2 linked regions of the Cricetulus griseus genome follow. Each later gene encodes a partner of the first gene's protein in a complex. Links are inferred from orthologs where the notes say so. Each region holds a gene or a part of one and is shown in the gene's direction. Other genes may lie near its edges. The genes, in order: Banf1 and Emd.

Region 1 (4,036 bases):
CCAACACCCTCATTTTGAGACATACATGCAGGTAAAAACACTGATAAACATAAAAAAAAAAATCACTAAAAAACAAGGCACGTGTTTAGCCAGATGCTGGTGTATGCCTTTATTCCTAGCACTTGGTATGCAGAGGCATGCAGATATTTGTTGCGTTCTAGGTCAGCCTGGTCTACATAGTGAAACCCTGTCTCAAAAATGAAGCAAACATGACGTTTAAGGGCCGGAGAGATGTCTCAGGACCCAGCACCCACATCAGTTGGTTCACAACCATCTCTAACTCCAATTCTAGGGGAATCCAATGCCCTCTTCTGGCCACCAAGGACACCTGTAACACCCACACACAGTAAAAGAAACCAGGAAACATGTCTTATAGTCTTACTTGGAAGAAAGGGGGATGGCTCAAGCCTTAAATCTCAAGACTCTAATCCCAAACCACAGAGGTAGACGAAAGCATATGGAGGCCAGTCTGGTCTACGTAGCGAGATATCCTCTCAATAACTAACAAAAAAAATGTAAATAAGTACTGACGTGACGATGAAACCATACGCACCTCCCAGGCCGATCATTCTGACAACCTTTTGTTTGTTTTTTCCGAAACAGGATTTCTCTGTGTAGCTTTGGAGCCTATCCTGGAACTAGCTCTTGTAGACCAGGGTGGTCTCGAACTCACAGAGATCTGACTACATCTGCCTCCCGAGTGCTGGGATTAAATGCTTACGCCACCACCGCCCGGGCTGACAACGTCTTTGGGGAAGTTTGAGTAAACTACTTTCCTCCACATGCTTTAACACCCCCAAGTGTAGGTCAGCCATACAACAGATGCTCGTCCTCCTAACACTCATGGTGTAGACTGACTCGGCCACCACCGCAGCGCTTCAAGCCGAAAAACCCTTCGAGAAAAGAGCCGCCCACAGCACTCACCCGCTCGGCGTTACACAAGCAAGCTACGTTTTCCAGGTAGACGCTGAACGCAGCTCGTCTACGACTCACTTCAAGACGGAGTCAACAAAAGCAAAGAAATGCGACTGGCAGGTGGTCACGACGGTCGCGCCGGTTTGGACGCCTGGCCTCAGACCACCGGTGTTCCCAGCTGCCGTCAGCCGGCTTCAGATAGACCTGACTCTGAGGAACCCGCGAGAATTGCACTTCCGGGGCTCTCAGTAGCCCTCCGGATGCCCCGCCCCTTCTTTGTCCGTTCCTTTAGTCTTCCCTCGACCAAGTCAGGCCACCTAAGTCTTTAAGTTCCAGGTGCTGGGCAAGAAAAAGATAACAGTATTCTCCTCGGAGGCCTCGGTCTCATAGATGGGAAGCGGGGCCGGAGAAACACGACCATAGAAAGCAGCGCGGCTTCCTGTGAGGGACCGGAAAACAGCGACCTCTGTGGGCTCCGCAGTTAGCGGTTGCGCCTCAACTCTATGGCTCTCTGTGGCTAGACGTGCCCAATTCGGGTATTTTTTTTTTAAAGGCGGCTCCTGACACGACCCGGAAGCGGAAGTTGAAGAACGTTCTAGCAACTTGAGGTATCGGCTGGAGCTGCCGAGTGGCGGGAGGAGCCGTTACGAGAGCCGGAGCTGCCGGTGAGCGTGAGCGGCGAAGTAAGGCTCCGGCTAGGCGGCGGAGGCGGGAGGGAGAGGAGCGCCCGTGGCTGAGGCGCGTCTCTGCAGCGGACCAGCCTGGCCTTGCGGGAGGGGCGGTGCGCGGAGCGTGGGAGCCGCGGCGCGTGCGAGCCGCGGCGCGTGGAGGAGGCGGGGCGGCGCGTCCGGGGCGGGGCCTGGGAGCCGCGAGGCGTGGGCTCCGGCGGGCTGCGGGAGCCGGTGCGCGGCGCCTGTTGGCCTGTGGAGGGCGGCGAGGGTAACGAGCCCCTCTTTTTGCTGCTATTTCTACCACGTGGTAGCTCCGGTCGGGGTCAGTGTTTGCCTGGCCAAGGTCACCAAGAGTGACAGCTTCAGGGCGGGCCCTGGCTGCTGAGGCTGTGAGTCTTTCTCTACGTGCGCCACTTGTTAGTGCAAGCTCATTACCAAATCCCAGGGCCCACAGAAAGTGGAGATTTCAGGATGTAATAGCGGGGGAAAGACTTTCCCTGGCCCCCAATTTTCTCAGGTGTGAGATGAGGGGGAATCGAGGAAGCAGCCACAATAGCTGACCTAGGAGGTTGCCCTTGGGAGTTGTGGTCTTCAGCCCTAACCTGCCTTTTTTTGGGATTCCCAGGTTAAACCTGATCAAGATGACAACCTCCCAAAAGCACCGTGACTTCGTGGCAGAGCCCATGGGGGAAAAGCCAGTGGGGAGCCTGGCCGGGATTGGTGAAGTCCTGGGCAAGAAGCTGGAGGAAAGGGGCTTTGACAAGGTGTGGGGTGGCCACAGATGCCAGGGAGGGGTAGGAGTGAAAGTTGGCAACAGATGATTCCAAGCAAAAAAATTGGGAGTTAGGAAAAGTAGGGGTACGGGGAGGGCACGGACAGTGGTAGATAATTTGAAGTGGTTTGGGGGCATCTGGGGAGGCAAAGTCATTTTTGTTGTTGTTTTGGAGACAGGATCTCTGTCTCACAAGTGCTGGGATTAAAGGTGTGCCCTACTGTGTCCTACCCTTTGAGTGTTTTCAATGCCACAAAGGTGATGAAACTAGGTATAGTGGGTCCTCCCTATGACCCCAGCACTTGTGAGATTGAGGCAAGCAGATTCTCATCTAGTTTAATGCCAGTCTAGTCAACAAAGCAAGACCCTGTCTTAAACAAAACAACCAAAACAAAATGGCCTTGCCCTCTCAAGTGCTTATCAGCTGACTTGCCTAGCTTCAGAGATCTGGCCCCTTCAGGTTGCTCTTTGCTCACAAGGCACTTAGCTGTATGCCCTTCCTGTTTTATAGGCTTATGTGGTCCTTGGCCAGTTTCTGGTGCTAAAGAAAGATGAAGACCTCTTCAGAGAATGGCTGAAGGACACGTGTGGTGCCAATGCCAAGCAGTCCCGGGACTGTTTTGGGTGCCTTCGAGAATGGTGTGATGCCTTCTTGTAATGTACTCTGGGGACTCCTCAGCCCCCCAGCCACAATATTGAGTCTCCAGAGTCTGAAGCCGGGTGGGGCTCCTCCCTGTCCTCCGTGAAGGGAAAGATTACTGTTGTCACACTCACCTCCTATGTACTCCAGGGTCTTTTGGGAGTTCTCTCCCCTCAGCGTTTCAACCTTTTTAGGATTCTTGCCCTTGCATGCCTTTCTCCTCTCCCCCTGCAGTTCCATGGCAACAGTTAACTTTCCCCAATGGATTCCTAGCCCTTTTCTCCCTCCATTCACGATCTGTTGGATGTCCTTTGGCTCTTTTTTTTGTTTTTTTCTTTTTTGTCGAAAATAGTTACCGCCCTTACAAAGATTTTTAGACTAATAAAGTCAGTGGCCTTCATGATTGGTGTTGTGTGTTGGAAAGCAGGTGCGCTGGGAGTTATGTCTTCCCCAGGGACTGAACATATCTTATCAGTGCAGACCGAAACTGGTGGCTTCTTTTTCCCCTCCCAAGAGGGAACCACCCTAGCCATGTGGGACTTGGGCAGGTGCCCTAGTGTCCCAATCCTAAATAATGTGGGACAGACTGTGGGTTGATTTCTTCCTGGGAGCCAGGTAGGCTGTAGGCTTCTAGATGTCAACATTTGATTCAGGCAGCACCTGGTGGAAAAGTTAGTAGGAGTCAGGTACCAGGAAGAGGGTGGGTGGGATGTGGGTAAGAGTTCACCTGACAGTCATCATGTCATGTGCTCTTGTAGCCTCTGGGAAGAATGGGTGGTACTTTTGCTGTTTGCCCAGCTATCATAGACATGAAAGGAAATAGTTAAACTTGAAAATTAAATTCCAGTCCTGTTGTTTTCAAGCTCATATCGTGAACTGGCCTGAAACTAACATCTTTGTAAGCATTTTAATTATTTCAGAGAGGTGAAGACCTTTGGCCCTCTGTCAGGGGCCTGAAATATCAATTATGGTATTTCAGATACAGGCCTCAAACTCTATCCCAGGAGCTCGAATCTCACATGTCTTTTAGATGTCCAA
Region 2 (2,848 bases), on another chromosome or scaffold:
TAGATGACCAGGTACTTCCTGTGGAGAATATTTCCATGAATCACTCAATTTGGGGCTATTGCAAAAGCCTCTTTAGACTCTGGGATCTTGATTCTTCTGCTGAATGGTAGAGAAGGGAGTTACACTGCAATGGACTAGACTTAAGCTCCAGGTTTGTGCAAGAAAACCACAGTTCAGATTCCTGATAACATCTGTGATAGGATTTTATAGTGGGATAGTGAGGGGATTAAGAGGCAGTGTGCTGAGGCAGGTGCAGAGGGTGATCCTTAGGGAGAAGGCAAACCTAAAATTCCTTGACCTCATAAGGAAGCAACTTGATTCTGTAGGGGGGGCATAGGGTAGTACTGAGCAATCACTCTGTATGCAGAGGCCTCTGGGAGAGGGGCCAGCATAGGGGGAGGGAAATGCTGGGAAATCTGATTTTGCCAAAACTAAAAAATATTCATGAAGCAGCCTCTGAATGGACAGAATGTCTCTCTCTGCCCTACTCTGTCTCTCACTTACACACACTCCTGCCCAAGGTTCTCCTGTCTCTTCGTAAGACAGTATCTTTTCCAGGGATTCATATAGCTCCATTTCCAGGGACAGAGGAGGGCACTGTCTTTTAAATCCATTCAACACCAACCCTTCTTCATTAACGACTTTTTTATGTGGTCAAAACAGGGCTCCTTCTCATCATTGCCTACTTTAAACTTCCATAAAGAATTGGCCTGTGGCCTTCACCTAAATGCCATCAGGTCAGCCTAGAACTGATCAGAACACTCACTATCACTATCATTTAAGACAGTGGTTCTCAGCCGGGTGTTGGTGGCGCACACCTTTAATCCCAGCACTCGGGAGGCAGAGGCAGGCGGATCTCTGTGAGTTCGAGGCCAGCCTGGTCTTCAAAGCGAGTGCCAGGATAGGCTCCAAAGCTACACAGAGAAACCCTGTTTCGAAAAACCAAAAAAAAAAAAAAAACAAACATAACTATAGAAAAATTATAGTTGTGAAATAGCTACGAAAATAATTTTATGGTTGGGGTCACCACAACATGAGGAACTGCATTAAAGGTCACAGCATTAGGAAGGTTGATAACCACTGCTTTAAGAGATCAGGTATCCCAGGCACCTTTTCTGCATGTACCCCTCCTCCTAAGTCTGTCCAATAAGGGGCAGCCTACCTAGTTCCAGATGACTTTGTGTAGAACAATAAATACATGGTCACTATTCGAGATAACCTTTGTCTGATACAGATCCTTTGTAAGCCTTAATTGATTCCCGGTTTGCCTCTAGGTTGTGCACCCTGATGGCCTCCAAGGTCATACCAAGTTTAGGGGTTATTCTACTCTGCCAAACAAGAACTCTACTGCAGAACTCTTCAGGGCCCCAGGTGGATGGAAATGTGAGTTAGACAGGCACAAAGTGTACCCGTCTACACGCATCACAAGGTGGGTGTCTTCTGATTATGACCACTGGCATGTCTCGGGGCCTTTGGAAGGCTTCTTGGTCCTGGAGTGCTGGCAGCCTCCCTGGCCCAGTTGCTTGCCCCATTTCCTCCCAGATGGAGCTAGGGGGCAGGCAGGGCCACGGAGACTGAGAAGACCAGCGAAGATGGGTGGGGCGGGCCAGGGGTCTGCGGGTGGCTACTTAGGTGATGAGAGCCCTGAATCGCAGCTGTTTCTTGGCACTAGTGTGCACAAAGAGTTCCCAGCAGTACCAGGCTGTCTGAAAGGGTTCGCTCTCAGGATTGGACTCTTTGCATTGCTGTGGAACAGACTGCCCCTGAGGACCATAGTTCGCTAGAGCACTGAGAAATAAAATCGGAGTGAAGCCAGTGACAAAGAGATCCCAGTCTCCCAACCACAGACCCTTTTCCGCCCCTCTAGCACATCTAACTCTTAACACACCCTCTGCTAACGTCTAGCTAACCTGGGTAGTCTAGTCAGCTGCTCCCCTGGCTCTCCTACAGGCCCCTCCCTCTTCCTGTTCTAGCCAATCCCACACAAGTGTGACGTTTACATTCTCCAGCCCCGCCTGTTCCAACCGCCAGACCGGTCTGTACCGGCCATTCTGGCGGGTTTGAGCCTGCCCTAAGGAGCGCGCGCAACTCGCGTAGCCGTGGCCGCGTAGCCGTGGCTGTGACGCAAACGTAACGGAGGCGTGACGCGACCACAACCGCTTCTAAGGCGCTGGAGCTTCCTTCGTCGCTCTAGGAGCTGTCCGTTTCCTAGGCCGTGTCCATAGGCCCGGGCCACCCCTTACGTTCAACACCGCTCCCCGGTGTCGGCCGGGTCTGCCATGGACGACTATGCTGTTTTATCCGACACTGAGCTGGCCGCCGTGCTACGCCAGTACAACATCCCGCATGGGCCTATCGTGGGTACGCGGCAGACTGTGGCGCGGAGAACCTATCCCAGGCCCCGCTTTCCCGCGCTCCTCGCTGAGCGTTATCCCCTACCTCCTCGTCCCCTCCCCGTATTCCCCGGCGCACTCGGGGTGCCCAGCTCGCACCCCCTGACCGCCTCGCACCCTGTATCTGACCAGGCTCCACTCGCAAGCTCTACGAAAAGAAAATCTTCGAGTACGAGACCCAGAGACGGAGGCTCTCGCCCCCCAACTCGTCATCCTCTTCATTCTCTTACAGGTTCTCAGGTGAGTCCCCCGCCGCAGAGCCTGGCTGAGCTGCTTGGAGACACAAGGCTTGGGGAGGGAGGGTGTGGCTGAAGCAATTGAGGGAATAGAGGGATGCCTAATGGTCTCTACCTCCCCCTTAATGCAGACTTGGATTCAGCCTCCGTGGACTCAGACATGTATGATCTGCCCAAAAAAGAGGATGCCTTACTTTACCAGAGCAAGGGTAAGACAGG

Evidence for each region.
Region 2: the proteins of Banf1 (region 1) and Emd are in contact, whole or in part, in a crystal structure (PDB 7NDY), measured with the Homo sapiens proteins. The link is inferred for Cricetulus griseus from reciprocal best matches to the Homo sapiens genes BANF1 and EMD. Residues at the interface, in NP_001137457.1 of Homo sapiens: Arg37, Phe39, Gln48, Val51, Leu52, Lys53, Asp55, Leu58, Glu61, Trp62, Asp65; in NP_000108.1 of Homo sapiens: Pro22, His23, Gly24, Pro25, Val27, Ser29, Thr30, Arg32, Leu33, Tyr34, Lys36, Lys37, Glu40.

Annotation. Positions count from the first base shown.
Region 1 is NC_048596.1:53,965,186-53,969,221, forward strand, and holds Banf1 (barrier-to-autointegration factor), read left to right. Parts: upstream 1-1,460; 5' UTR 1,461-1,598; intron 1,599-2,211; 5' UTR 2,212-2,227; coding exon 2,228-2,350; intron 2,351-2,869; coding exon 2,870-3,016; 3' UTR 3,017-3,398; downstream 3,399-4,036. UniProt on the Homo sapiens protein: Non-specific DNA-binding protein that plays key roles in mitotic nuclear reassembly, chromatin organization, DNA damage response, gene expression and intrinsic immunity against foreign DNA.
Region 2 is NC_048604.1:1,458,551-1,461,398, reverse strand, and holds part of Emd (emerin), read left to right. Parts: intron 1-1,274; 5' UTR 1,275-1,429; intron 1,430-1,973; 5' UTR 1,974-2,279; coding exon 2,280-2,361; intron 2,362-2,525; coding exon 2,526-2,633; intron 2,634-2,760; coding exon 2,761-2,838; intron 2,839-2,848. UniProt on the Homo sapiens protein: Stabilizes and promotes the formation of a nuclear actin cortical network. Stimulates actin polymerization in vitro by binding and stabilizing the pointed end of growing filaments. Inhibits beta-catenin activity by preventing its accumulation in the nucleus.